Anolis sagrei: one gene and its partners. The protein of the gene in region 2 purifies or fractionates together with the protein of the main gene of each other region. This does not show direct contact. Links are inferred from orthologs where the notes say so. Each region holds a gene or a part of one and is shown on either strand. Other genes may lie near its edges.

The links.
Region 1: the proteins of CAMKV (region 2) and PNN purify together in Homo sapiens (affinity purification with mass spectrometry; 3 studies listed by BioGRID and IntAct, counting the BioPlex papers as one, with this or other methods). This does not show direct contact. The link is inferred for Anolis sagrei from reciprocal best matches to the Homo sapiens genes CAMKV and PNN.
Region 3: the proteins of CAMKV (region 2) and AP3B1 purify together in Homo sapiens (affinity purification with mass spectrometry; 3 studies listed by BioGRID and IntAct, counting the BioPlex papers as one, with this or other methods). This does not show direct contact. The link is inferred for Anolis sagrei from reciprocal best matches to the Homo sapiens genes CAMKV and AP3B1.
Region 4: the proteins of CAMKV (region 2) and AHCYL1 purify together in Homo sapiens (affinity purification with mass spectrometry; 3 studies listed by BioGRID and IntAct, counting the BioPlex papers as one, with this or other methods). This does not show direct contact. The link is inferred for Anolis sagrei from reciprocal best matches to the Homo sapiens genes CAMKV and AHCYL1.

What each region holds. Positions count from the first base shown.
Region 1 is NC_090021.1:303,575,080-303,582,459, forward strand, and holds the start of PNN (pinin), read left to right. Parts: upstream 1-4,254; 5' UTR 4,255-4,379; coding exon 4,380-4,492; intron 4,493-6,797; coding exon 6,798-6,869; intron 6,870-7,380. Other genes in the region: TRAPPC6B (trafficking protein particle complex subunit 6B), read right to left, coding at 1-73. UniProt on the Homo sapiens protein: Transcriptional activator binding to the E-box 1 core sequence of the E-cadherin promoter gene; the core-binding sequence is 5'CAGGTG-3'. Capable of reversing CTBP1-mediated transcription repression.
Region 2 is NC_090022.1:75,026,820-75,034,102, forward strand, and holds the start of CAMKV (caM kinase-like vesicle-associated protein), read left to right. Parts: upstream 1-4,162; 5' UTR 4,163-4,440; intron 4,441-7,283. UniProt on the Homo sapiens protein: Does not appear to have detectable kinase activity.
Region 3 is NC_090022.1:265,418,378-265,426,300, reverse strand, and holds the start of AP3B1 (AP-3 complex subunit beta-1), read left to right. Parts: upstream 1-4,876; 5' UTR 4,877-5,092; coding exon 5,093-5,226; intron 5,227-7,923. UniProt on the Homo sapiens protein: Subunit of non-clathrin- and clathrin-associated adaptor protein complex 3 (AP-3) that plays a role in protein sorting in the late-Golgi/trans-Golgi network (TGN) and/or endosomes.
Region 4 is NC_090024.1:183,980,699-183,988,758, reverse strand, and holds the start of AHCYL1 (S-adenosylhomocysteine hydrolase-like protein 1), read left to right. Parts: upstream 1-4,886; 5' UTR 4,887-5,023; coding exon 5,024-5,134; intron 5,135-8,060. UniProt on the Homo sapiens protein: Multifaceted cellular regulator which coordinates several essential cellular functions including regulation of epithelial HCO3(-) and fluid secretion, mRNA processing and DNA replication.

The DNA of each region.
Region 1 (7,380 bases), on a different chromosome or scaffold from region 2:
GGTAGAGGCCCGCCACCATCTCGTTGTGGAGCAGCAGGAAGAGGGCCTCGTCCGCCATCTCCGCCTTGTTCATGCCGGGCCTCCCTGGGAGACGCAAGGCCCGCTCCTCCGCCGCGACGCTTCCTCCCCGCCTTCCTTCTCCTCCTCCAAGCCCAGCGCCTCCCGAAGGCCCGGCAGGAGGAGGAGGAGCTGCTAAGCAGGCCTGGGCCAACTTGGGCCCTCCCTCCAAGGGTTTTGGACTTCAGTTCCCACCATTCCTAACAGCCTCAGGCCCTTTCCTTTTTCCCCTCAGAAGCGGCCTGAGGCTGTTGGGAATGGTGGGAATTGAAGTCCAAAAACCCTGGAGGGAGGGCCCAAGTTTGCCCAGGCCCTCAGAAGAGGCCTGAGGTTGTTGGGAATGGTGGGAATTGAAGTCCAAAAACCCCAGGCCCTCAGAGGGGGCCTGAGGCTTTTGGGAATGGTGGAAATTGGAGTCCAAAACCCTGGAGTCCAAGTTTGCCCAGGCCCTCAGAAGGAGCCTGAGGCTGTTGGGAATTATGGGAATTGAAGTCCAAAAACCCTGGAGGGAGGGCCCAAGTTTGCCCAGGCCCTCAGAAGGGGCCTGAGGTTGTTGGGAATGGTGGGAATTGAAGTCCAAAACCTCCAGGCCTTCAGAAGGGGCCTGAGGCTGTTGGGAATGGTGGGAATTGAAGTCCAAAAACCCCAGGCCCTCAGAGGGGTGCTGAGGCTTTTGGGAATGGTGGGAATTGGAGTCCAAAACCCTGGAGGGAGGGCCCAAGTTTGCCCAGGCCCTCAAAAGGGGCCTGAGGCTGTTGGGAATGGTGGGAATTGAAGTCCAAAAACCCTGGAGGGAGGGCCCTAGTTTGCCCAGGCCTGGTCTACACTGTAGAATGAATGCAGCCTGACCACTCTGACTGCCACAGCTCATGCCTCCATAGTCAAGAAGACTATGGCCTTCCCTCCAGCTGTTTTGGACTTCAACTCCCACCATTCCTAACAGCCTCTGGGCCTTTCCTTTTTTTCTCCTCAGTCACTTGGAAAAGGAAAAGGCCTGGTGTTATTAGGAATGGTGGGAGTTGAAGTCCAAAACCTCTGGAAGGCTGAAGTTTGTTTTGCATCCAGTCCATGGGCTTTAGTTTGGGGACCCCTGGTATAGACATTTAGGGTGATCAATACAAATTACAATCCACAGTCTTATTGCTTCAAAAGTATATAAATGGTTGCAAGGTTTACAGTTTGCGATTGGTATATAGTATGGCGGGAAACTTGATAAACCTTTTAATTTGAGGAATTCTGGAGCTGGTCTTCTGTAAACACGCCAGCCACCCCCTTCTGCCTGAAGGAGCTCATCAGCCTGGAAAGGGATTATTTTGGGGAAACAATGTTTGCTGATTGGTATCAGCTGGCAGAGGGGAAGGTTTTCTTGATTGAACAATACATGGATTGTTATTCCAAAATGATGGGTTTGACTTTCTCGGAGTGGGATAGGAGCACGCCCTGCACTTACCTACATAATCCTTACATAATCTTTGGCTTCAGCTTTCTGTGAGTTGATCAGGTGGTGGGAAAATAAGGGGGTTTGTCAATGTTGCCCAGCTAAGAGTCTTTTTCTGGCTTCGGAAGCTCAGCGGAGTAACTACAGGTCATTTCTGAACCTCAACATTTTTAGGAGCCCCAGCTTCAGACAACAACATCAACTACATAATTTCCATAAATCTACCAATTTGAAATCTGTTGCAGCAAATAAATAAAAAACTTGCACCACCACAAATCAGTAGAGTAAGTTTTATTGAGTCAGAGTCCTACTAGGTTAACTCTAGGGAAATACACAACTATCCGATAATCAGATGTATTTATCGTGTCAGAAGCAAATTGAGAATACACAAAGTTTAAAAAAAACAAAGTTTAAAACTTAGCATTATGCTAGATTTCCTTTGACCAGAAGCTGGCCACTTCAAGTGCCTCAAGTGTGAAAAGGTTGTGCATTTAATATGCATTTAAAAATACAAAGTTAAAAAAACCCTTGGCATTATGCTAAATGTCCTTTGACCAGAAGCTGGCCATTGGAGTGCCTCTAATGTCGCTGTGAGAAGGTCCTCCATTGTGCATGTGGCAGTACTCAGACTGCATTGTAGTAAGTGGTCTGTGGTTTGCTCTTCTCCACACTCCCATGTTGTGGACTCCACCCTGTAGCAACATTTCTTAAGGTTGGTGTTGCATCTCATGATGCCGAAGTGCAGTCTTTTCAGCGCCTTCCAAGTCGCCCAGTCTTCTGTGTGCCCAGGAGGGAGTTTCTCATCTGGTATCAACCACTGATTGATGTCCCGTGTTTTAGCCTGGTACTTTTGGACTCCGCTTGCTGAGGTGTTCCTGCAAATATCTCTGTAGATCTTTGAAAGCTGTTTCTTGATTTAAGACATTGGCATGCTGGCTGATATCCAAACAGAGGATGGGCCTGAGATGCCAATGCCTTGTTCCTTTTATTACTGGCTGTTACTTCCCCGGGGGGGGGGGGGGGGCGGGGGGGGGGAGGTTGAGAAGGGCAGGGTACAAATATCTGAAATAAATAAATATCAGGTGATGCAATACCGGCTAAACAGTATAATTCTCCAGCAGTGTTGGGCATAGACTTCCTGTGATAATGTGGCATGTCTCATTAAGACATCTACTGCTTGAACATGGTGAGATGTATTCCATACTGGACATGCGTATTCAGCAGCAGAGTAGCAAAGCGCAAGGACAGATGTCTTCACTGTATCTGGTTATGATCCCTAGGTTGATAATTAGATTAGAGACTGTCAGTACACAGTATATGGCATGACTGAATGCTGGAAGAGCAGCAGTGTATGAGTTTAAGACACAATTACTTGCAAAATCAGATTCTTATCTGGTGATCGTTTATTTAGGATTAGGCAAAAAGGCCCACAACTTCCATGATTCCCTAGCTTTGAGTTATAGCAGCCAAAATAGTGTCAAACCGCATTAATTCTACAGTGTATATACATCTCTGAAGTCACCGATTGATTTACAGTCTATGTAGTAGCTATTTTGTGCTACAGCTATTTGTATTAGGTAAAAAAAAGGTAAAGGTTTTCCCCTGACATTAAGTCCAGTCGTGTCTGACTCTGGAGTTGGTGCTCATCTCCCATTTCTAAGTCGAAGAGCCGGCATTGTCCGTAGACACCTCCAAGGTCATGTGGCCTGCATGATTGCATGGAGCACCATTACCTTCCCTATTAATCTATTCACATTTGCATGTTTTCAAACTGCTAGGTTGACAGAAGCTGGGGCGGACAGCGGAAGCTCACACCGCTCCTCGAATTCGAACCTGTAACCTTAGGTAGTTACCTCATACACATTTCAGCATTTTATAAGAGTGACTCATCTATAGTCAATTTGTCATGTTGATCCCACATTGATTTTTTTATTTCTTCTATAGTTTTGAGATAAAAGATATTGGGATAATATTTAGAAAATGTCACAATAAAATTTACTCAAAAACAAGGTACCAAATAGGAAATTGGGAGGCATATCTCAAATCGCGTAAATGATTCAGAATATATTTTGATTAAACCAATTATGTGTTGTGTTGTAGTTCTATGGAAAAGGTTTGGGAACCACTGACCCTGAGCACCTGGTATTTATTGGTGGTCTCCCATTCAGACACTAACTAGGGCTGACCCTGCTTAACCTCAATCTCCAAGATCAACCAAGATATGGTGCAATTAGGGTAATCAGTCAGTAAAAGAACAGAGATTACTGGGATTAAATATATTGTTTGATTTTATTGTGTCTTATGCTCTTAAATTCACTGGTTAGCCTCCACATTCCTTTCTCAGAAATGCCTTAGCCCCGCCCCTTGCACTCAAGAACGCCTCCTAACCCACAGAGGCGCGAAAATAGTAGGGCGGGGAATATAATACAGAGAGAGAACCTACCTCCAAGCACGGATTGGCCATATGGTTGTGCCGCTTGCCATTCGGTTGGCTGCTTATTGTGTCATTCAACTCTGGTACTTAGCGATTGGCAGAAGGAACCCAACAGGATTCTTTCTAAGTGGCTGAAAGCGACGTCACTCCACCAACGTGAACCGTTGAGTGGCAGAAACGGGAAACTTGATTGGTGCACCGAGCTGCCGCTCAATCTCAGAGGCGGGCGACTCGTGAGAGATTCCGAGTACCGATTGGACAAACGTGATGTCGTTTTAATGTGCTGGTTCCCGATTGGTGGATTCTTTGAGGGAGCCACGTTACACGTGTAGGCGGGGTAACTTCCCCCTCTGCTCCCCAGCTCTTCGCTTACCCGACCGCGCTTTCTGCTGGGCCCAGGCAGGGTAGGCCGCGCCTGTCCTGGTACTAGGAGTAGTAGTATCAGGCGAGATGGCGGTGGCCGTGCGGGCCCTGCAGGAGCAGCTCGAGAAGGCCAAGGAGAGCCTCAAGCACGTCGACGAGAACATCCGCAAGCTCACGGGGCGGGACCCCAACGATGCGAGGTGAGGGAACCAGCCCAAGGGTGCTTTTTCAGGGCCCTTCCACACAGCCAGAAACAGCAAGGCAGGAAATCCCGCATTATCTGAGTGTGGACTCGGATAACCCAGTTCAAAGCAGATATTGTGGGATTTTCTGCCTTGATATTCTGGGATATAGGGCTGTGTGGAAGGGCCCTCAGTAAGGAACTGCCATATAATCCAGATTAACCACTTTAAACCGGATTATGTGAATCTACACTGCGGTTCGGTTCAGCTGCATTCACAAACTATTATATGGCAGTGTAGATGATGATACTGGGAAATAGGGCTGTGTGGAAAGGCCCTCAGTGAGGAACTTCCATATAATCCAGATTAATCACTTTAAACCGGATTATGTGAATCTACACTGCGGTTTCTGTGTTCGGCTCAGCTGCATTCAGAAACTACTATATGGCAGTGTAGATAATAATAATAATAATAATAATAATAATAATCTTTATTTATACCCCGCCACTATCTCCCCAAGGGACTCAGGGCGGCTTACATGAGGCCAGGCCCGACAATACAATGCATCCGTATAAACCAATACAGCAATAAAATAAAACTACAATACAAAACCATAATAAATAACATATCAGCAATAAAACACAGCACTTAAAAACACAAAAATCCTACACTGAGGGCAGGGCCTATTCTAATAGATTTAAAATTTAAAACACTGGGCGTGGCAGCAATAAAATAAGTCTGAATAGAGGTTTTAGAGCAGGGTTCCTCAAACTAAGGCCCGGGGGCCGGATACGGCCCTCCAAGGTCATTTACCCGGCCCTTGCACAGGGTCAACCTAAGTCTGAAATGACTACAACAACAACAATCCTATCTCATCAGGCAAAAGCAGGCCCACACTTCCCATTAAAATACTAATAAGCTTATATTTGTTAAAATTGTTCTTCATTTTGATGATTGTATTGTTTTTAAGTGTTTTTTGCACTACAAATAGGATATGTCCTTCTCAGTGCCTTCTCAGTGGTGGCCCCTCATCTGGAATTCACTCCCCGGGGAAATTAGATCAGCGACATCCCTCCTTTAGAAAGAAATTAAAAACATGGACGTGGGACCAGGCGTTTGGGCACTCTGGCAGATAAATAAAGGACTGTGATGACGGATAGGAATAGACAATGTGGAACGAAGTATGGACTCTGAGTTGGTGAACGCTGTGCTTGAGATTGGCTATTGATTGTGATATATATAGTTGTTTTAATTGTTTAACTGCTTAACTGCTGTTTTTATACATTTATTGTATTATTGTGTAGGCATCGAATTGTGCCATTTTGTAAGCCGCCCTGAGTCTCCCTCGGGGGTTGAGAAGGGCGGGGTAGAAGTATACGAAATAAATAAATATGTGCGGTGTGCATAGGAATTCATTCGTTTTTTTTCAAATTATAATCCGGCCCTCCAACAGTTTGAAAGACTGTGACCTGGCCCTCTGTTTAAAAAGTTTGAGGGCCCCTGTTTTAGAGGGTGAGGTAGGATTGATTGCCCAACAGGTAGAATAAAGTGCTTCAGAGGACCTTTTGCAGGGAATTGGTCAGATCAGGGAATTATTGCTCTTTCATTCAGGGAAGGCACATTGGAACAACCAAGTTTTCAAGCTCCTCCTAAAGACTGCCAATATGGGGGCTTGCCTAATATCCTTAGGGAGCGAATTTCAGTGTCGAGGGGTCACCACTGAAAAGGCCCTCTCCCTCGTCCCCACCAGTCGCACCTGCGAAGGGGGCAGGAGCGAGAGAAGGGCCTCTCTGGACAATCAAAGAGATTGCATGAGTTTGTGAATGGAAATGCAGGTAGGCAGGTCCCAAACTGTCCAGGGCTTTGTAGATAAGGACCTGCACTTTGAATTGAGACCGGAAAATGAACGGCAGCCAGTGGAGCTCTTTAAATAGGAGGGTTGACCACTCCCTGTAATTTGCTCCAGTTACCAATCTGGCTGCTGCCCGTTGGACCAAATGAAATTTCCAGGCCGTCTTCAAGGGCAGCCCCACGTAGAGCGCATTGCAATAATCCAATCAGGAGGTGAGTTAAGGCCAGATCTGACTTCACGAGGTACGGTCGCAGCTGGCGCACAAGCTTCAATTGTGCAAAGGGGCCCGATTCTTCTTTATAACAAGGAAGCAGGGTACTACTTACTACTAATGTAACAATTGTATATATACGATAATAATTATATTGTGTGTGTTGGTTTATATATAATGTAATACCAATTATATGTGTGTCTTTACCTATTTGTATATCATAGTAATTTTATGTGTGTATGTTTGTGTTCCTTTTTCAGGCCTGCTCAGGGTAGGCTCTTGACCATCACAGGCCCAGGTGGAGGTAGAGGGCGTGGAAGTATACTGCTGAGGTAAGAGTCTATGGAAGTATTGTCCTCCGGTGCATCTGCGCCAGGCATGGGCAAACTTGGGCCCTCCAGGTGTTTTGGTCTTCAACTCACACAATTCCTAACAGCCTCAGGCCCCTTCCTTTCTTTCCTTTCTGCTCAAGCAGCTGAGGGAAAAAGGAAAGGGTCTGAGGCTGTTAGGAACTGTGGGAGTTGAAGTCCAAAACACCTGGAGGGCCCAAGTTTGCCAAGGCCTGATTTACACTTGATTCTATGGCGTAGATGCTTCCTAATTTAAGTGAACCTTAACGCAGACTTTGCTTGGAAATAAGTATTTGGAGAGGGTTTGCCTTCCTCTGAGGCTGAGTGTGTGACTTGCCCGATGCCATACAGTCTCCCAGAGCTCTAGGGTGCATCTGCAGTGTAGAATTAATGCATTTTGATGCCACTTAATGGCACAGTGTTATGGGATTGTGGAAGTTGTAGTTGCACAAGCAACTTTTAGGTGCCGTTTGCAACTGTTTCCACAATGTGA
Region 2 (7,283 bases):
TGTAATGTGTACAAAACTGCATGAAATCCCTGATGTACAGTGGAAGAGACACTTCACTCCTGTTAGGGAGCCAAATACCTTCTTGCTGTGAAGGTATTTGGCTCCCTAATTTGGTTCTTATGTCTCCTCAGGAACACAAGAACAACACAGACACAAAGCTGTTCTTTTCAACTGGAAGGCTTTTCTTTCTTCAGTTGCAGCAATAGTACAAACAGTACAAATACTAACACAGTATGCACAACAAACTCTCTTCTCTTACAATCCATCAAACTCATTCCCTCATTAAACTCTCATCAAACTAACCTAGGGTTACTCCAACCTATATACAATAGTCTCAGCACTGGTCACATCCCAATTACAATGACACCTGTGGTTAAACCCGAGACACTGATCCTGTTATCGCTTCAAGAAATGCTGTGCAACTTACAAAGAATTAATGGCTAACCCTACCATAATGGCGGTTGCCATACCAGCTTTGGGCAAAAATACAGATAGTGTGGAGGAAGCAAAGGTAGCACCTCCATCACTGTTCCCCTTTGCTAGAAGATAGAGTTTTGAATAATATGCAGCTTGCTTGGCATATGTAAATAAACAAAAAACAATCTGGTAACATGGATGTTGTCCTGTCACCAGTACTGAATAGGACTTAACAGCTATGTAGCTCAATGCCTTTCCAAACTATCTGGAGGTCTGGCAATTTATGTTTTTCCCAATATGCTTTTGTAATATATTTGTACCCATTATACTATGTAACAAAATTTGGAAAAAATGTTCCTGGTTTGAAAGTGTTATTTCCTGTTTAATTGTGCAGTATTTACTTTGAAAGTAGCTGTTATACTCAAGAAACTTTTTTTTTTGGCTGCCACAAACTAGGTTGAATTGGTTGAGACTCTATGAGTTATTCATTGAAAAGCCATAGCAAAATGTGCTGCAGGGTGTCCCACAGAATTTTTGCAGTTTAATAAACTTTTTCCTTGTTTTATGATAGAACCAATTAGGAAATAATGTTTATAACCCAGGAACAAACATCGTGTTACATGGTGTCATCTGTAACTTTTTATTTTATGTTCTTTCCAGGAAACCTACCAGGCACTGGCTCACAGAACAACAGCATAAGCCAGTCCACCATTTAGGAGAACACAAGCCACCACTTAAAAGTACAATGGAGAAGCAGAGTGCCCTTTGCCTTAGGCAGCCAAATACATTGGGCCAGACCTGGGGCTTTGGGCATGGAAAGCACTCTACAATGAACAGTGTCCCTCTGAGATATGCTGTGAACCCCATGACCATGATCTTACAGCTAAGCCATGATATTTCAAATTCAAAATATTTCAAGTCACTGCATCCTTAGCCATGGCCTTGTATACATTGAAGAAGTGAGCTATTAAGGAGAGAAGAAGAGAACTATGGTATTCATCTATTCCTCTTGCATTAGCCTCTGGCTGGACAGAGAAATCACGCTGGAAGTTATTCAACAGGTTGTTAATCTAAAATAGGGACTGACAACAATTGCATCAATTTTCATGGTTCTGGGACTCTCTGTAGGCCACCAAGAAGGAAGGAGTGTGGTGGAGGCTCCTTCTTAGGAGGCTTTTGAGCAGAGGCTGGATGGCCATCTGTCAGGGGTGCTTTGAATGCGATTTTCCTGCTTCGTGGCAGGGTGTTGGACTAGATGACCCACAAGGTCTCTTCCAACTCTATGATTCTATGATTAAATATGATGCTCTATCATTGATTCCCTCACAACAAAATAAAGAAGGCAATATAGAACCAGACTGACACACAGTCTATGTGCAGGAAAGTGGCATATTTGTTCTTATTCTTTGAGGAATTCTGCACTGCGGTTTTAGAATACTCTAAGTTGGATGTTTTATGTACTCACAAATACACAATGAGATCTTTTGGGAATGGGACCCAAGGCTAAACACAAAACCCATTTATGTTTCATACACACATACCTTGAAAGTCATTTCATGCACAATATTTAAACAGTTTTTGAGTATAAAACAAAGTTTGTGAGTGAAATAAAATCCATTTGTTCCATATATAAAGGTAAAGGTTTCCCCTTGACATTAAGTCAAGTCGCGTCCGACTCTGAAAGGTGATGCCCATCTCCATTTCTAAGCCAAAGAGCCGGTGTTGCCCATAGATGCCTCCTAGGTCATGTGGCCGACATGACTGCATGGAGCACTGCTACCTTCCCCCCAAAGTGGTACCTATTGATCTATTCACATTTGCATGTTTTCAAATTGCTAGATTGACAGAAGCTGGGGCTAAAAGTGGGAGCTCACCCCACTCTCCAGATTTGAACCACTGACCTTTTGGTCAGCAAGTTCAGCAGCTCAGCGCTTTAACCCACTGCGCCACCAGGGGCTCATATATACATACCCTAGAAGTAATTTTGTACACAGTATGTAATACTTTTGTGCATGAAACAAAGTTTGTGCAGGAACCCAAATTCATTCCTGTTTGATATACACACAGCCTGTTAGAAATTTCATGCCCAATATTTTTTAATAATGCTGTTTATTTATTTATTTATTTACCCTGTTTATACCCCACCTTTCTCTACCCCAGGGGGCTTACATATGACAATTATTCAATGCCTTAAACATTGAGAAGCATCTCAAGCTCTAGGATTACCTGGGAAGGAATCCCACTGGAGTATTGCAACACACCTAAATATCTGGGAGTCACTCTGGACCGAGCTCTGACCTACAAGAAGCACTGCCTGAATATCAAGCAAAAAGTGAGCACTAGAAACAATATCATACAAAAGCTGACTGGCACAACCTGGGGATCACAACCAGATACAGTGAAGATATCTGCCCTTGCGCTATGCTACTCTGCTGCTGAGTATGCATGCCTAGTGTGGAACACATCTCACCACGCTAAAACAGTAGATGTGGCTCTTAATGAGATATGCCGCATTATCACAGGCTGTCTGCACACTACACCACTAGAGAAATTACAGTCTAGTCGGTATTGCATTACCTAACATCCAGAGGGAAGTAGCAGCCAATAATGAAAGGACCTAGGCAGTGACACCTCCGGCCCACCCCCTGTTTGGACATCAGCCAGCACTCCAACAACTTAAATCAAAAAATAGTTTTCTAAGATCTACAGAGACACTCGCTGGAACACCTCAGCAAGTGAGAGTCCAAAAGTGGCAGGCTCAAACACAGAACCTCAATCGATGGCTGATACCAAATGAGAGACTCCCTCCTGGGCACACAGAAGACTGGGCGACTTGGAAGGCACTGAACAGACTGCACTCTGGCACCACGAGCTACAGAGCCAACCTTAAGAAATGGGGCTGCAAAGTGGAATCCACGACATGTGAGTGTGGAGAAGAGCAAACCACTGACCACCTATTATAATACAACCTGTGCCCTGGCATATGCACAATGAAGGACCTTCTTGCAGCAACACCAGAGGCATTCCAAGTGGCCAGATACTGGTCAAAGGACATTGAATCAACTACCAAGCTTGCAAACTTTGTGTTTTGTCTGTTTGTTTGTTTTGTTAAAAATGTAATACAAATGTCTGGTTGCTCCTGACACTATAAATAAATAAACCATGAGATGCAGAGCCAACCTTAAGAAATGGGGCTACAGAGTGGAGTCCGCGACATGTGACTGTGGAGAAGAGCAAACCACAGACCACCTACTGCAATGCAACCTGGGCCCTGGCACATGTACAATGGAGGACCTAACACCAGAGGCACTCCAAGTGTCCAACTACTGGTCAAAGGACATTTTTAAATTTTGTGTTTTCTCTAATACAGGGATGGCATCCTTGAAGTGACTGGACTGACCTTGAAGGAGCTGGGGGTGATGACGGCTGGTCCATGAGGTCACGAAGAGTTGGAGACGACTGAATGAATGAACAACAAACAAATACATTGTTTCGCTCCTGATACGATTAATAAATAAATAATGCTTTAAACACATACAACATTATGCTCGAAATCCATTGAATTAAAATGATGTTGTGATTGAAACAAAGTTGGCGTCCCAGCCGAGGGCAAAGGCGTCCCACGTGGTGGACCAAACCTCCCGAATCCCGGCTGAGGATGCTCAACGTGTGACTCAGCTGGCCCAGGCGGTGGGCGGGGCTAAAAGTTCCCGGTGACGTGAGGCGGGCTGGCCACGCCCCTCCTGGGCGGCCCCTTGCGCCGCCTCTCCTGCCTAACTTTCCCTCTCGCAACTCCACTGAGATGCTCAACTTGCGCGGAGCCGCGGAGCAGCCCGGCCGCTCGGCTCCGTCTCCCGCCTCGGACGCCACGCCTCCCTCCGCCGACCCCCAGGCAGGCCTCGGACGGGAAGCGCGGGGTCCGCGGCGAGACTAAGGAGGAGGGCAGCCCAGGGCCCCTCGCGCCCCTCAGCCCAGCCCAGCCCAGCCCAGCCCAGTCCTTCCACCGGTGGAGCAGCGCTGCAGGTGAGCCTCGGGCAGCGCGCGGGAGGAAGCGGGCGTTTTAGCGGGGCGAGCGCGCTCGTGCGCTCGCGGGGTGGGGGCCGTGGGGGCCGTCTCGCGCTTGCCTTCCGTCCGGGGACTCTCTCTCTCGAGACCGCGGCAGTGGAAGGGGAATTCGCGAGGGAAGAGGGCGGGAAGCGTGTCGCTTTGGCGAAGTTGCCGCGGCGCTTTCGGAAAAAGCGGCAACCTGTGGGTTTTGGGCGGCGGGTGTGAGGGAATTGGGGACTTCATTCGCCGGCTGCCTCCCCTCAGGCACCCGCGCGCCTCTGTGGAAGAAAGGGGCGCGCCTTCAACGCGTGTTCACTGGGTTGCTGTGAGTTTGTCGGGCTGTATGGCCACGTCCCAGAAGCATTCTCTCCTGACGTTTCGCCTGCATCTAGGGCAGGCATCCTGGGAGGTTGCGAAGTCTGTCGAGGGCCGGAAAGGCGCCCAAGTTGGTCTGCAAAGGCCCGTCTCGCCTTTGACCCTCCAAGAGCGGGCTGGGCTCTACCGGGCGCTTCATCCGTCCAGCCACCGAGAGGACAGAGCAGTGCGGCTCTCGTTTGGAGGAGAGTCTCCGCACAGTCAACTCCGCCGCACCTGGCAGCCTCCCCACAGGCTCCACTCCGCAGCGCCCCCCTCTTCCCTTCCCGCGGCGCTTCATCAATAAACAAACAAATAGTGACAAAGTGGACGACGGGCTCCAACATAGAACACGCGTCCCTTGCCCTCAAGCTTTGATGATGAACCCCTGGGGGATTCATTCGTGGGCGAAACCATCAAGGGATTTGAATCAAAGGTGGGCATGGTTCAGAAGAAGAACTTCCCCCACAACGATTGCATTGACCTGGAACATAGGCCACTCCGCCCTGACTTGGTGGAAGATGTGGATTCTGGGCCTGTATTAGGTAGTGTTCGAGCAGGAATGGGCAAGCTTTGGCCTTCCAGATGTTTTGGACTTCGACTTCTATCATTCCTAACAGCCTCAGGCCCCTTCCTTTTCCCCCTCAGCCGCTTAAGCGGCTGAGGGGGGAAAGGAAGGGGCCTGAGTCTGTTAGGAATGGTGGGAGTTGAAGTCCAAAATACCTGGAGGGCCCACGTTGGCCCATGTCTGTGTTACAGGAAAGAGGGTGCTCTGCCCTCCACTGGCCTGACTCTGTGCCCCGAGTTATCTGAGGACCCGCCACAGTCCCCTTCCCCAACCAACTTTGCAGCTCCTGCACTTTGATTTCCTTCCTTCCCTTCTTCTCCCCCCCCCCAACCCAACCCCAGTACTTCCCCGCCTTTCAACTCGCACTCTCATTACCATGACAACCCCGAAATGTCACTGCGAAAGATGCTGTCTTAATTGCTGGTTTGGTGGCGGCCGAGGTGGGCGCGGGAGGAGAGGAGACAGAGGAACCGCATGCTTCAGTTCAGATCCAGGCTGAGGAGGCCCCTGAGGGGCAAGGAGGGGAGGAAAGGAGGGAGGGGTGCTGCCAAAGGCCTGGCCTCTCATGCATTTGGAGAGTGGGATCTATAGGTGAGGAATGGGACGTGTTTGGTGCTTGGACGGAAATGCTGCCTTCTCAGTCTTGTAACAGGAGTCCTGTAGGTAGAGCTGTCTTGCATTGCCTTGCTAGCCGTGCCTGTGCCTGTTCCTCTGTGACTACTTTACTGAGTGGGCTCTGGGTGAGGGGCCACGCAGGCCACAGTTTTGGAGCTCATCTGTGAGGAAAGAGCAGCAGGGAAGCTCCATCCCGCTTAGGAGGTAGGACTGGGTTGCTATGAGTTTTCCGGGCTGTATGGCCATGTTCCAGAAGCATTCTCTCCTGACGTTTCACCCACACCTATGGCAGGCATCTTCAGATCTTGAGAGGTCTGTTGGAAACTAGGCAAGTGAGATTTATATATCTGTTGAATGTCCAGGATGGGAGAAAGCATCTGGGGAGGGGAGGGAAGACTGCTCTCTCCTCAAACATCTGAGGAGCATCTACACCATGGGCAAACTTTGGCCCTCCAGGAGTTTTGGACTTCAACTCCCACAATAAGGAATTGTGAGAGTTGAAGTCCAAAACACCCGGAGGGCCAGAGTTTGCTCACTCCTGCTATACACTAGAATTAATGCACTTTGACATCACTTTAACTGCCCTGGCTCAATGCCGTGGGATCATCAAAGCTATAGTTTTACAAGGACTTTAACCCTGCCAAACAGTGCTTATCCCTCCTCAAGTTATAAATCCCATGTTTCCATAGCATCTAGCCACAGCAGTGGTGGAGGCTCCTTCTTTGGAGGCTTTTAAACAGAATCTGGATGGCCATCTGTCGGGGATGCTTCGAATGAGATTTTACTGCTTTGAGTGTTATTTCCTGCTTCTTGGCAGGGGGTTGGACTGAATGGCCCATGAGGTCTCTTCCAACTCTGTGATTCTAAGTGGTATCAAATGGCATTAATTTTACAGTTTAGATTCATCCCAGGTGAAACTCCTAGGATTGGAAAGGATTGAGACAACGTACCAGGAAGCTACTGAAATTGCTTCTGAGCCCCTTATTAGTGTTTTCTCCCATATGCACAGGTTTTTTTTCCGCAGGAAGAGAGATTTTGGGGGCCTAGAATTAACTAGCCAAGGAAAATGTATCACCCCCCCCCCCATTTCACAGTGGCACAGACATAGAGATACAATGTATTCATTTAGTGAACAGATCAGTTCAGAGCCAGACAGCAGATCAATCAAAGTGCAAAAAATCCCACGTTTAATCCATAGGCCCGCAGCTTGTGTGAGTGTGTGTTTTAGTACCTGTTAACAAATTCGGAAATCACTCCAACACACTTCCTCTGCCGGGAAGGG
Region 3 (7,923 bases), about 190 Mb from region 2:
TTTAACTGAAGGTACGCAAACCTCAACTAAGCAAGTGTATGTGGCATCTTCTTCCTAACTTTTAGGCACCAGGTAAAGTCTTTACCATTTTTTCAGGTTTTAATATCATATCTGGGATATATGAGCTCCTGGTGGCGCAGTGGGTTAAACTGCTGAGCTGCTGGCTCCCTGGCGATTCGAATCCAGGGAGCGGGGTGAGCTTCCACTGTCAGCCCCAGCTTCTGCCAACCTCGAAGTTCAAAAACATGCAAATCTGAGTAGAACAATGGGTACCACTCTGGCAGGAAGGTAATGATGCTCTATGCAGTCATGCCAGCCACATGACCTTGGAGGTGTCTATGGACAACGCCGGCTCTTTGGCTTAGAAATGGAGATGAGCACCAGCCCCCAGAGTTGGGGCTACAAAGTGGAGTAAACGTCATGCGAGTGTGGAGAAGAGCACAGAGCACCTAATACAGTGCAACCTGAGCTCTAGGAGCCCCTGGTAGCGCAGTGGGTTAAACCCCTGTGTTGGCAGGACTGAAGACCAACAGGTCGGAGGTTCGAATTCGGGGAGAGCATGGATGAGCTCCCTCTATCAGCTCCAGATCCTCATGCGGGGACATGAGAGAAGCCTCAGATAATGTGGGATTTTATTCAGCTGTGTGGAAGAGGCCTCCACACAGCCCCCCCTGCATGGATGAAGAAAGACAATGCCCAATAAACGAGTCTTCCCTTCAACCCACAATATCTCTCCCTTATGCAGGGCAATGCATAAGGGAGAGATATTTTGATGATAGCTTAAAGGTAAAGGTTTCCCCCTGACATTAAGTCCAGTCGTGTCTGACTCTGGGGGTTGGTGCTCACCTCCATTTCTAAGCCGAAGAGCCGGCGTTATCCGTAGACACCTCCTAGGTCATGTGGCCAGCATGACTGCATGGAGTGCTGTTACCCGCCGGAGCGGTACCTATAGATCTACTCATATTTGCATGTTTTTGAACTGCTAGGTTGGCAGAAGCTGGGGCTAACAGCGGGAGCTCACCCCACTCCCTGGATTCGAATCAGCGACATTTCGATCAGCAAGTTCAGCAGGTCAGCAGTTTAACCCACTGTGCCACCAGAGGTTATATAATCAAAATACGTAGTATATTTTGTATACATAAAATATATAGTGTATGCATGTGTGTGTATATATATATATATATACACAAACACACACATGTATATACTAGCCATTCCCTGCCGCGCATTGCTGTGGCCCAGTCTGTGTATGTTTTGTGTGTGTGTATATGTGTGTGTATATGTTTGTGTATATGTGTGTTTATGTATATATGTGGTTTTGTGCATGTGTTGTAATGTGTTTTTTGTTTTTTAAGGTCTCTTATGCTGTGTTTTTCAGTGTCTTTATGAGTGATGGTCACTTGTTGGCCTGATAGATGTCGTGTCCAAATTTGGTGTCAATTAATGCAGTGGTTTTTGAGTTGTTAATCCCACAAACGAACATTACATTTTTAAAAATATATAGATATATGTTGTTGTTCGGTCGTTTCTGACTTTGTGACCTCATGGACCAGCCCATGCCAGAGCTCCCTGTCGGCCTTCACCACCCCCAGCTCCTTCAAGGTCAATCCAGACACTTCAAGGATACCATCCATCCATCTTGCACTTGGTCGGCCCCTCTTCCTTTTTCCTTCCTTTCCCCCCAGCATAATTGTCTTCTCTAAGCTTTCCTTTCTTCTCATGATGTTGCCAAAATACTTCATCTTGGCCTCTATTATCCTGCCCTCCAATGAGCAGTCAGGCTTTATTTCTTGAAGTAAGGACTGGTTGGACCTTCTCGCGGTCCAAGGCACTCTCAGAATTTTCCTCCAACATAGTTCAAAAGCATCTATCTTCATTCACTCAGCCTTCCCTATGATCCAGCTCTCACGTCTGTAGGTGACTATGGGGAATACCATTGCTTTGACCATGTGGATCTTTGTTGCCAGTGTGATGTCTCTACTCTTCACAATTTTATCAAGATTTGTCATTGCTCTCCTCCCAAGAAGGAAGTGTCTCCTGATTTCCCGGCTGCAGTCTGCATCTGCAGTAATCTTTGCACCTAGAAATACAAAGTCTGTCACTGCCTCCACGTTTTCTCCCTCTATTTCCCAGTTGTCAATCATTCTTCTTGCCATCATATTGGTTTTTTTTATGTTTAGCTGCAACCCAGCTTTGTACATACACTATATATAGATATATATAGTACTAGCTGTCCCCTGCCATGCGTTGCTGTGGCCGTCTGTTGATCTGGAAAATAAAGTAATGAGAAAGTGTTGGTTTCTAATATATGCAATTTCTTTATGCTTGTGGGTAAACAGTATTTCTTGCTGTTTCTTTGTCAGTGTTGATGTGGAGAGTGTCTGGTTTGCCCACCCTGGAACATGCAAGATATCATTGTCCTTCTTTAAGGGTCCCTTTCAAATCTATGATACTATATCTCTGTGTGTGTGTGAATAACATCTCTCTCTCTCTCTCTCTCTCTCTATCTATCTGAGTCCACAGTGCTCTCTGGATCTATCTATCTATCTATTTATCTGTATGGCTGGATGGCTCTTTGTCAGGAGGACTTTGATTACATTTTCTTGCCCTGGAGAAGAGAGTTGGACTGGATGGCCTTAAGTATTTTCTGTTGGTCATGGGGGTTCTGTGTGGGAAGTTTGCGCCATTTCTGTCATTTGTGGGTTTCAAAATGCTCTTTAATTGTAGTGAACTATAAATCCCAGTAACTACAAATTCCAAATGTCAAGGTCTATTTCCTCCAAACTCCATCTGTGTTCATATTTGGGCATATGGAATATTCATGCCAAGTTTGGTCCAGATTCATCATTGTTTGAGTCCACAATGCTCTCTGGATGTTGGTGAACTACAACTCCCAACCTCAAGGTCAATGCCCACCAAACCCAAGGATACCATCCATCCATCTTGTCCTTGGTCGGCCCCTCTTCCTTTTTCTTTCCATTTTCCCCAGCATTTTCTGTTGGTCAAGGGAGTTCTGTGTGCCAAGTTTGGTTCAGTTCCATCATTGGTGGAGTTCAGAATGCTCTTTGATTGTAGGTGAACTATAAATCCCAGTAATTACAACTCCCTATGCTGGGGAAAGTGGAAGGCAAAAGGGCCGACCAAGGGCAAGATGGATGGATGGCATCCTTGAAGTGACTGGACTGACCTTGAAGGAGCTGGGGGTGATGACGGCCGACAAGGAGCTCTGGCGTGGATTGGTCCATGAGGTCACGAAGAATCGGAGACGACTGAACGAATGAACAACAACAATGACAAAATCAATTTTTGAGTGAAGAACATATATTGGGTTATTAGGTGCATTGTGTCCAAATTTGGTGTCAATTCATCCAGTGGTTTTTGAGTTCTATTAATCCCACAAACGGACATTACATTTTTATTTATATAGATAGAAGATTGTATACATACAAAATCTTCAACAGCCAGACAGTGAGTATTTCCCCTGGCAACATGGTTCTGGATTTTTCACCAAATCCTTATAGCAGTGGTTCTCAACCTGGGCCCCCAGATGTTTTGGCCTTCAACTGCCAGAAATCATAACAGCTGGTAAACTGGCTGGGATTTCTGGGAGTTGTAGGCCAAAAACATCTGGGGACCCCAGGTTGAAAACCACTGCCTTATAGCCTATGACTCTGGAGACCAGGGTTTAAATGTCTATGGAAACTCACCGAGTTACTTTGATCAAGTCACACTTTCTCAGCCTTAGAAATCCAAAACCATGCTTCTGGGGAGACAGTTTAAGTGGCTGAGGAGGAAAAAGGAAGGGCCTGAGGCCAGGCCTGTAGCGAGGGGGTGGTTTTAGGTGTTCAAACCCCCCCTGAAATGTTTCAGATTTTTTTTAAAAAAAACCCTGGTTTACTCATGAATTTTGACTGGTTAACCAAATCCCCATGCTAAGTCTATGAGATGCAAAAAATTAAGAGTCCCTCCAGAACTGTAAGCACTATCTGAAGCAAATATTGACAATTTATTCACACTGTCATTACCTGCAGCAATAGTGGATGTAGTGAAGCAACCAAGTTGGGGGGGGGGGGTGTTGAATGCTCTCATTAAGGAGGCCAGACTTGGTGGAGGTGGTTGACAGGGGCGGAGCTGCGGGCTATTGAAGGTTGCTCTGCCCCCTGCTGTGCTCTTTGCTTCAGCATGAGCTAGGAGGCAGGTTTCAACACCCCCAGGGGCGGCTCACCCATTACGCAAAGTAAGCATTTGCAGTATAGTTGATTTAGCCCAGGGGCGCTCTTGAGGCGCTCTTGGGGGAAAATAGACCTTGACATAAGCGAGTTGTAGTTACTGGGATGTATAGTTCACCTAAATCAAAGAGCATTCTGAACTCCACCATTGATGGAACTGAATCAAATATGGCACACAGAACTCCCACAACGAACAGAAAATATATATCAGTGATTGGTTAGGGGGGGGGGGGGGGCTCCAAAATACTGTTTGCTTACTTTGAAAATTACCTAGGGCCGCTTCTGAACACCCCCCCCCGTGAAATTTTCAAACCCCCCCCCCCCAAATTTCAACCCCTCCCGAATTTTTTTTCTGGCTACGGCCCTGCCTGAGGCTGTTAGGAATGGTGGAAGTTGGAAGTCCAAAACACCTGGAGGGAGGGAGGGCCCAAGTTGGCCCAGGCCTGGCCTGGAGTCGGGGGCTCTGCCTACGTGGCAACAAGAGCGCGAGCGCGATAACGGGACCGCCTTCCTTCCTTCCTGGCGCTCGTGACTGCCTTTGGGCGCTTAAGGAGGAAAGGAGGAGCCCCTCGTGACAGTGGGCGGAGCTTATGGAAATTGAGGGGGAAGGGCCTTGCGTTCCCATGACAACGGCGGCGCTGGAGAAAATCCCATTCAGCCGTTCTTCCCCTCCCACTTCTCCCCCCCTCCCTCCTTCGAGGAGCACGTGACCAACATTGGAGTGCTGCTTGCTTGCCGTCAGCTTCCGGGACGAGCCGGATTGTGTCTGTGTGAGGGAAGCAAGGAAGGAAGGAAGGAAGGAACAGCGGGAAGGCGAGGCCCAGGGAGAAAGCAGCGGCAAGGGAAGCGACTCTCACGGGAACATGTCGGCTAACAGTGTCGGCTACAACGACCAGGCCGGGGATGCGCAGGCGGAGGTGGGCCAAGAGGCGACGCCCACCACCGCTTCCTCCTCTTTGCCGGCGGCCTTCGGGCTCTTCAGCAGCGACGGGAAGAAGTAAGTGGCCAAGCGGGAGGGAAGGGAACACACGGGCCATCCAGTCCAACCCCCCTGCCATGCAGGAAAAGCACAATCAAAGAAGCCCCGACAGATAGCCATCCAGCCTCTGCTTAAAAGCCTCCATGGATCCTTCCACCACACTCCGAGGCAGAGAGTTCCACTGCTGAACAGCTCTCTGTTCCACACAGCCCTATATCCCAGAATATCAAGGCAGAAAATCCCACAATATCGCCTTTGAACTGCGTTATCTGAGTCCACATTGCCATATAGTCCAGCCCTATATCCCAGAATATCAAGGCAGAAAATCCCACAATATCGCCTTTGAACTGCGTTATCCGAGTCCACATTGCCATATAGTCCAGTTCATTGCAGATAATGTGGGATTTTATTCATCCCACATTATCTAAATGGTTCTGGCCCGACCTATCTGTCCGAACACATCTCCTCCTATGAACCAGTTAGGACATTAAGATCGTCTGGGGAGGCCCTGCTCTCGGTCCCACCGGCCTCACAAGCACGCCTGGTGGGGACGAGAGACAGGGCCTTCTCAGTAGTGGCCCCCCGGCTGTGGAACACCCTTCCTACAGACATTAGATCGGCCCCCTCCTTATTGGCATTCCGGAAGAGAGTGAAGACCTGGCTCTTTGAACAGGCTTTTAACTAAGCAGTGCCATTGATTGATTACTGGAATATGGATTAATGGACAACGAGATCGGGTGCTGATTCTATTGACGAGACGTGATGGATTGTTGTTTTGCTGTATTGTTGTATTGATGTTTTGATGTTAGCTAATTGATATTACTGTTTTAAATGATTAATGATTTTGTACTGCGTTGTTGATACTGGTTGTTAACCGCTCTGAGTTGCCTGATGGCTGAGAATAGCGGTATACAAGTGAAATAAATAAATAAAATAAATCTGTGTGGAAGTAGCCTCACTGCCAGGAAGTTGTTCCTGATGTTCAAGTGGAATCCCCTTTCCTGCAATTTGAACCCATCGCTCCCTTCCACACAAATGAATAAAATCCCAAATTATCTGCTCTGCACTGTGGGCCCTTCCACACAGCCCTATATCCCAGAATACCAAGGCAAAAAATCCCACATCTGAGTGTGGAGTTAGACAACCCAATTCAAAGCAGATATTGTGGGATTTAGTTCCTTGATATTCTCCCATATAGGGCTATGTAGAAGGGCCCTGTAATATATGGCATTGTGGACTCAGGTAACTAAGGGCCCTTCCACACAGCCATATAACCCAGAATATCAAGGCAGAAAATCCCACATTATCTGAGTGTGGACTTAGATAACCCAATTCAAAGCAGATATTGTGGGATTTAGTGTCTTGATATTCTCCAATATAGGGCAGTGTAGAAGGGCCCTGTAATATATGGCAGTGTGGACTCGGATAACTAAGGGCCATTCCACACAGCCATATAAACCAGAATATCAAGGCAGAAAATCCCACATCATCTGAGTGTTAAAGCAGATATTGTGGGATTCTCTGCCTTGATATTCTGGGGTAGAGGGCTGTGTGGAAGGGCCCATAGGACCCTTCTGCACATTCCTATATCCAGAAAAATCCCACAATATCTGCTTTGAACTGAGTTATCTTAGTCCGCACTCAGATAATGTGGGATTTTCTGCCTTGATATTCTGAGCTGTGTGGAAGGGCCCTTAGTCTCCAGGGTAGCAGAAAATAAGCTCACCCCCCCCCCCTCAATGGACAGTCTTTCAGATGTTTAAACATGGCTGTCATGTCCCCTCTTGGCCTTCTTTTCCCCAAATTAAACATACCCAGCTCCTTCAGCCGCTCCTCGTAGGGCATGGTTTGTATGGGAACACCTTGCACGAGAAGAATATGGAGCCTCCAGTGTTGCAGCGGGTTAAACTGTGGAGCTGCTGAACTTGCTGAACAAAATATCTGTGGTTCAAATCCGGGGAGTGGGGTGAACTCCTGCTGTGAGCCCCAGATTCTGCCAACCTTGTAGTTCGAAAACATGCAAATGTGAGTAGATCAACAGGCAGCACTTTTTCAGGAAGGTAACGGCACTCCATGCAGTCATGCTGGCCACATGTCCTTGGAGGCGTCTTTGGACAATGCCAGCTCTTCGGCTTAGAAATGGAGATGAACATCACCTCCCAGATTCGGACACAACTAGACTTACCTTTACTTTACGAGAAGAATAAGTCGCTCAGGGTGTATTTGTGCTAAACAGTTATATTGATTTGAAGGCCCTTAATTCCATCGCATCAAATCCTGTGATTTGTAATAATTATCTGGCTCCATTTCAAGGCATCCTATGATTTGTAATAAAGGGTCCATCCGCAATGTAGAAGTAATGCAGTTTGACAGCATATCTAAGTGCCCTTGCACAGTGCTATGCAATCCTGGGAGGCCTCTTCCACACAGCTGAATAAAATCACACACTATCTGCATTGAACTGAACTATATGGCAGTGTGGATTCAGATAACCCAGTTCAAAGTAGATATTTTGGGATTTTCTGCCTTGATATTCTGGGATATAGGGCTGTGTGGAACGGCCCTGTGTTGTGACCCTCCTTGAGCCATGGGGAGAGGCGTGTAAGAAATAAAAATTATTATTATTATTATTATTATTATTAATATTATAGGGGGAGGTTATTTTTTTGATGTCATGTTACCGCCCGTTTGTTGTTCCTATATGAAGACTGCTGC
Region 4 (8,060 bases), on a different chromosome or scaffold from region 2:
GTAAACCAACTATGTTACTTTTAAAGAAGTGTGCATATTTTGTCTCTTGAGAGCATGGTCTCTCGTTCCTCTGCCTTTTCCAAACCCAACTTGTACATCTGGCAACTCTTGCTACATGTATTGCTGGAGTCTACTATGTTACTTTTAAAGAAGTCTGCTTATTTTGTCTCTTGGTAGTATGATTTAAAGGCAAATATATATTTAAGGAAGAATAGATGTTTCTGGGCAACTACAAAAAAAAAAAAAACCACTTCTGAAACTCTGCTATATACATATATGTTTTGTGCATTGGCATATCTTTGTCCCTAACCGTTCAAAGAGATGTTTAGGATATCAGTTTAACAGCTGAGAAACCTAATTGCCTTGCATGAATGCCATTTTCCCAAAAGATTATGGCATCATTATTCAAATGGTTATGACTTCTAACAAGGTCATGCCTTTCCAAAGATCATAAAATCTCCAAAAGGGTAAGGAGATTTCAGTTTTCCAAAATGCATTACCCCACAGGATCCGTGGCCATGATTTGTGTGAATACTTTTTTGCCTGGCTTGTTGTGGTTGCAGGTTCAGCACAGGGATGAAAGTGAATGGTTGAATTGGTATCAAGGCAGGAAGTGGCAGGCAAATTGCTTTTTTGAACTAGGCCTTTCCCTCCTTGCTGCCTCTCCTTCCATCCCAGTGGATAATAGGGTTCTAACTACTTTGCCTTTGCCTTTCAGGCATTTGAATTTGAGTTTTTTCTGCCCTTGGCAATTTTGGCATGAATTTCTCAGCAGAGCATAATGCAGGAATGGGGAAAATCCACCTCATGGGACATATAAGGCCCACAAATTCATTTGGTCTGGCCTGGCACAGAGAAGGACACCTCTCCCAGTCCACTCTCTGTTAAGTTGTATTTCTGGCATTGCAGAGGGATTGGCTGGTGTCAAGATGTTATCGAGCAATTGAGAATGGCTATGGATAGTGAGATCCAAGCCACTGTGAGTTTAGCCTGGTGAGAAAATAAGCCAAAACTCCAGAATGAATCTCACCAAGTTGAAGCAGCTATAAGGCCGTGATTTACATACTGCTTTGTATCTCCTCTCTCTCTTTATGATTGGCTGCCTTTCTCCCGAGGGGGGGGGGGGGGTTAAACCCCCTTCCACATTCCATCATTGCCAAAAGGCAAAAACCCGCAAAACAGCAAGACTGCGAAAAGTGAACTGCAAAGTAGCGAGGGAACACTGTAGTGATATAATATACTAATATTGTGCTATGGTAATAAGTCAGAGCCCCCCATTGATTGTCTTTTTGGGCTCCTCCCTCACAAATACACTTTCCCCCCACTCCTATCTCATCCAGAGTTTTATCATTTTATCTTGTGTATTTGGCCTGCTCATTGTGTTTGACTTTCCATTATGTTACTTTGCATTGCTTATTTTATCTTTTTACATTATGTATTTTATCATGATGTAATTTTTTGTTGTTTTGTATTTTATTTTGCTGTATTGTATTTTTGGGTTTGGCCTCATGTGAGCTGCCCCGAGTCCCCTTTGGGGAGATGGTGGTGGGTATAAATAAAGTTTATTATTATTATTTAAAACACAACAAGATGAGTCCAAAGCAGACAAGGTCACTCTGCTGGCTGTTGTATTGGATCACACCTCGGACACTTCCCAAGTGTCTAGGACTGTGTGATGTATTGGTGAATAATGTGTGCACATCCCAGTAAGGTGGCCTTCTGCAGCTGGCAGGTGGTAATTTTGTCAGCACTTATTGTGTTTAAGTGCAGGCCAGGGTCTTTAGGCACTGCACCCAGTGTGCCGATCACCACTGGAACCACTTTGACTGGCTTATGCCAGTCTTTGCAGTTTGATCTTTAAATCCTCGCATCGTGTCAGCTTTTCCAGTTGTTTCTCTTCAATCCTGCTGTCAACTGGGATTGCAACATCGACAATCCATACTTTGTTTTTTTAACACAATTGTAAAGGTCAGGAGTATTATGCTCCAAAACTCTGTCTGTCTGAACCCGGAAGTCCCAGAGGAGTTTGGCGTGTTCATTCTCTGTAACTTTTTCCGGCTTGTGATCCCACTAGTTCTTTGTTGCAGGCATATGGTATTTGTGGCACAAGTTCCAATGAATCATCTGAGCAACGGTGAGGATGTGATCTATTGTTTCATCTGCTTCCTTGCAGAGTCTACATTTGGGATCTGTTGTCGACTTTTCAATTCTGGCTTTGATGGCATTGGTTCGAATGGCTTGTTCTTGGGCTGCCAGAATCAGACCCTCCATCTTCTTTTTCAAAGTTCCATTTGTGAGCCACAGCCATGTTTTTTCTTTGTCAGTTTGGCTCTCACTTTTTCCCAGGAACTGTCCATGGAGAGCCTTCTTTTGCCAGTTTTCTCTTCTGCTCTGGATTGTGTTTTTACAGTATTCACTCTTTCTCAAAACTCTATCTCAATTCGGAAGTCCCAGAGGAGTTTGATGTGTTAATTTTCTGTAACTTTTTCCTGCTTGTGATCCTACCAGTTCTTTGTCGCAGGCAGATGGTATTTGTGGCACAGGTTCCAGTGAATCATCTGAGCAATGGTGTTATGCCTCTGCTTGTAGTCTGTCTAAGATAATTATTATTACATATTACAAGTAATATGTAAATAATAATAATAAGTTTATTATTATTATTTACATATTACTTGTAAGCCACTTGGAGTCCCTTTCAAGGTGAGAAGGGTGGCATATAAATTTCGTAAATAAATAAAATTAATTAATGGAATAATTTTACAATTTATAATCCAAAGCCATGTCTGGGTTGTTGTAGGTTTTTTTGGGCTATATGGCCATGTTCTAGAAGCATCCTCTCCTGACTTTTCGCCTGCATCTATGGCAAGCATCCTGAGAGGTAGTGAGGTCTGTTGGAACTAGGAAAATGGGTTTACATATCTGTGGAATGACCAGGGTGAGACAAAGGACTTTTGTTTGCTGGGGCTAGATGTGAATGTTTCAGCTGATCACCTTGATTAGCATTCAATGGCTTAGAAGTGCCCGGGGGGAATCCCTTGCTGAGAGTGATTTTATGTGCCTGTTTGTTTCCCCTCTGTTGTTTTGCTGTTGTGATTTTTGAGTCCTTTAATACTGGTAGCCAGATTTTGTTCATTTTCATGGTTTCTTCCTTTCTGTTGAAATTGTCCACATGCTTGTGGACTTCAATGGCTTCTCTGTGTAGTCTGACATGGTGGTTGTGAGAGTGGTCCAGCATTTTTGTGTTCTCAAATAAAATGCTGTGTCCAGGTTGGTTCATCAGGTGCTCTGCTATGGCTGATTTCTCTGGCTGACGTAGTCTGCAGTGCCTTTCATGTTCCTTGATTCTTGTTTGGGTGATGCTGCTTTTGGTGTTCCCGATGTAGACTTGTCCACAGCTGCATGTGGACAAAGCACGTTGGGCGGGGACAAGAGACAGGGCCTTCTCAGTAGTGGCCCCTCGGCTATGGAACACACTCCCTAGGGAAATCTGATCTGCTCCCTCCCTCTTGACGTTTCGGAAGCAAGTTAAAACGTGGCTATTCGAGCAAGCGTTTACAAATACAGAGTAACTAATATAGGAAATCGAATGACCTGACAATGGAATTGGACAATGCTTGAGAATAATGAGACGCTGACGATGTTGCTTTTATTGCTTTTGTGATGTCTTATACTGTTCAATGTTTTTTATATCATGTGTTTTATGTATACTGATTTGTTGGAAACCGCCTTGAGACGGCAATTGGCTGAGAAAGGCGATATACAAATACAGTAAATAAAATAAATAAATAAATAAAGGTATACGGTAGACTCCTGCAGAAGTGTCCTTTGCTGAACGTAGCATTTGTTGGATTTTCTTTGTGGGTCAAAGCCAGGTCCTTTTTCTTTCTCTAGAAAGGAATTTATTTGGCTCGAAAAAGATCTTGGAGTCCTCGTGGACAACAAGTTAAACATGAGCCAACAATGTGATGTGGCGGCAAAAAAAGCCAATGGGATTTTGGCCTACATCAATAGGAGCATAGTGTCTAGATCTAGGGAAGTCATGCTACCCCTCTATTCTGCTTTGGTTAGACCACACCTGGAATATTGTGTCCAATTCTGGGCACCACAATTCAAGAGAGATATTGACAAGCTGGAATGTGTCCAGAGGAGGACAACTAAAATGATCAAGGGCCTGGAGAACAAGCCCTATGAGGAGCGGCTTAAGGAGCTGGGCATGTTTAGCCTGAAGAAGAGAAGGCTGAGAGGAGATATGATAGCCATGTATAAAATATGTGAGAGGAAGCCACAGGGAGGAGGGAGCAAGCTTGTTTGGGAAGCTTGCTTCCCTGGAGACTAGGACGCGGAACAATGACTTCAAACTACAAGAAAGGAGGTTCCATCTGAACATGAGGAAGAACTTCCTGACTGTGAGAGCCGTTCAGCAGTGGTACTCTCTGCCCCGGAGTGTGGTGGAGGCTCCTTCTTTGGAAGCTTTTAAACAGAGGCTGGACGGCCATCTGTCAGGGGTGATTTGAATGCAATATTCCTGCTTCTTGGCAGGGGGTTGGACTGGATGGCCCATGAGGTCTCTTCCAACTCTTTGATTCTATGATTCTATTTTGTTTATTCACATTATGCCATGAATTCATATGGAATTGGCTCCAGGAGCTCAGGCTCTTTGCCGCCGGTCCTCACAAAATGTGGTTGAGCAGGCTGTGTCCTTTTTTCATCCTCGGCTCCTTCCATTGCGTCACTTCTGCAACCAGCCGCCAGATGGCGCTGAGGTGCTCTCATCCAAGATGCTGCGCGACAGAGCTTTGCGTGCGACGTCGGGAGGGCCCGGCTTGGTCGGCGCGAGGGGGAAAGGGGGCGGGGCCCCGAGGCGTGCGTGGTGACGCGCGCGCCCCGCTTGGCCCCGCCCCTTGCCGGAGCGCGGCAGCGGTGGTTGCAGGCTGAGTGGTTGCTGACGGAGGAGGAGGAGGAGGAGGAGGAGGAGAGGCACCTGAGGCGTAGGATCCCTCTCTCGGGCCCTTTCCCCTTCAGGATGTCTTCGGCGCCGGACGCGGCCTCCGGGGACGAGCTGAAGCAAGCCAAGGAGATGGAGGACGCGGAGAAGTACTCCTTCATGTCCACGCTCACCAAGGCGCCCAAGAAGGTGAGCGAGCGAGGGAGGGAGGGAGGGCCGGGATCACCTCAGGCCTCAAAGTCGCGCCCTCTGGAGGGGCCAAGGAACCCCTTCGGGGCAGAGGAACTCTGCACGCGCTCAGGGGAGCACTTGCCTTGGTCAGCACTCGGGGAATAGATAGATAGATAGATAGATAGATAGATAGAGGAGGCGGAGGAGAAAGAGATTTCTGCCCTGTAGAAGGAAATAATGCGGGCTTGACGCCACTTGAACTGCTATGGAATCATGGGAGATGTAGTTTTACAAGTTCTTTAGGGAATCCTAAGAGACCACAATGGCCACAAGCCAACCCCCTGCCGTGTGGGAGAAGCACAATCAAAGCAACCCCGACAGATGGTCATGCAGCAAAGAAGTATCCTTTCATGTCCATACTCACCAAGGTGCCCAAGAAGATGAGGGCGCCTTGTACACTCTGAGCATGTACAGAGTTCCTCTCTCGTCCAGCCACATTTCAAAAGCCATCCAACCTCACTCTGAGACAGAGAGTTCCACTGCTGAACAGCTCTTACAGCAAGTGTGAGCAAACTTTGGCCCTCCGGGTGTTTTGGACTTCAACTCCCACAATTCCTAACAGCCGGTAGGCTCATGCCTGTCTTACACTCAGGAAGTTCTTCCTAATGTTCAGCTGGAATCTCCATTCCTGTCATTTGAATCTATTGCTCCTCTTTCTTTCAAATATTTGAACATGGTTATCCTGTCTCCTTTCAACCTTATCTTCCTCACCAAACTACAACTCCCAGAATTCCAGGGCAGTTTTTTTTTCGTGCCAGGAGCAACTTGCGAAACTGCAAGTCGCTTCTGGTGTGAAAGAATTGGCTGTGTGCAAGGATGTTGCCGAGGGGATGCTGGGATGTTTTACCATCCTGTGGGAGGCATCTTTCATGTCCCCACATGAGAAGCTGGAGCTGATAGACAGGAGCTCGCCCCGCTCCTTGGATCTGAACCGCTGACCTTTCGGTCAGCAGTCCTGCCGGCACAGGGGTTTAATCCATTGCTCCACCGGGGGTTCCTCTCCAGGGCAGTTAAAATGGGGACGCTGAGACATTTTACCATCCTGTGGGAAGCTTCTCTCATATTCTCACAAGAAGCTGGAGCTGACAGACAGGAGCTCACCCCACTCCTTGGATTCGAAACGCAGACCTTTCGGTCAGCAGTCCTGCCAGCACAGGGGTTTAATCCATTGCGCCACCAGGCAGTTAAAATTGTGTTAGACTGCATTAAGTTTACAGATAAATGTGGTGCTGTCTGTCAGGTGTTTTGGCTGAAAGCATCTACACTATAGAATAAATGCAGTTGGGCATTCCTTTAACGACCACAGCTTAGTACTATGGAGTCCTGCGAGTTGTAGTTTGGGAAGGCACTAGAAACATTTGGTAGAGAAGGCTAAATATCTTGTAAAACTACAAGCATTTAGCCATCGTAGTTAAAGTGGTGTCAAACTAAATTTCTTCTGAAGTGTAGATGCATCCCAAGAGAGGTGTTACAGCTCAAAGGGAGTCAGTGTTAAGACACACTTTCCTGGTGTGTCAGGTGAACGGTTCCTTGCTGCCCGAAGCTTAACTGACTCTTAAGATCATTATCCCTGTTCCTCTCTGTGGAAGGTATTTCCGCCTAGATGTCTGTAAAGAGGCCTGGCTAGATGTGATCCAAGCCTTGTAGCTGTCCTGGGTTATGACGATTTCCCTTGATTCATGCCACAGGCTAGGAAGAATGTCGAGGCCAGTGGGCACAGGTGATCCGGAAACCAGGTTTGCTTTCAGACTGCTCTGCAGAAGGAGGTCCTTCCCCTTCCCGTTGGTGCTCTGCCTGTTCTCAGGAATGTGGGTATTTGTGCTGTGGCATGTGAGCCTCTAAGGGCCATTATGCAAGCTATAAAAGTGGGTTGCAGGTTATTCCGTAGCAGTAAGTGTCTTGCGTCTATTGCAGAGACCTGGATGTGCTTCTCTATCAGTAGACGATTGATTTCACTTCTGAATAAGTCTACAAAGTCCCTTGCTTGACTTGTGTGAAGGCTGCACCTGCTAACAGCCTAAAAGGGATCTGTGCTATGAAGAACTTATTCTTAAATCTGCTCTAGCTGGTATCCTTAATCCAAGGTCTTCTCGGGAAAGGGTCTTCTCGGTGGTGGCCCCCCGACTCTGGAACTCACTTCCCAAGGACATCAGACATGGCCCAACTCTGGCAGTCTTTAGGAGGAGCCTGAAAACGTGGTTGTTCCAGTGTGCTTTCCCAGAATAAGGAAAACTCTCAGCAATATGCCCTCAAATGCACTTTACTATGGATTTAGGACTGACTGCGTTCCCTCATCTCTCTTTGAAAAATTTTTATCCCAGTTATATCCTACCTTGGTCATGCCCAGCATTATTTTTTAAATTTTAATTATCACATTTGGCCAAGCCATAGATTTTTTTTAAAATGCTTGTGTGTTACTGTTATTGTTTATTGTTTATTTTTTTGTTTATGTGATTTATATTAATTGTTTTGTATTTATTGTTTTTGTTATTGCTTCTGTTTACTGATGTACTTTGGGCTTGGCCTCATGTAAGCCGCACCGAGTCCCTTGGGGAGATGGTGGCGGGGTATAAATAAAATATTATTATTATTATTCTCTAGATTCTTCCAGTTCTATTTAACATAAATTAATAAACAATTGTTTCTTTGAGTTCTGCCTGGTTTGCTTTCCCCAAAATTACCTTTGTGAGGCCCCATAGTTGTAATAATTGTTGTTAGTGAATCTGAACTCAAGAATTCTGACTTCTAGCCAGATAGATGCAGTCAAAATTCTCCATTTAGATTTATCATAGGACCTCCTTCAGCACAAAGCATGGCGTTCTTTTCAGGTTTATCTTGTCTGGGTTCAAATTTAAATTCAGGTTCTGTAGTGTGCAGATCAAAA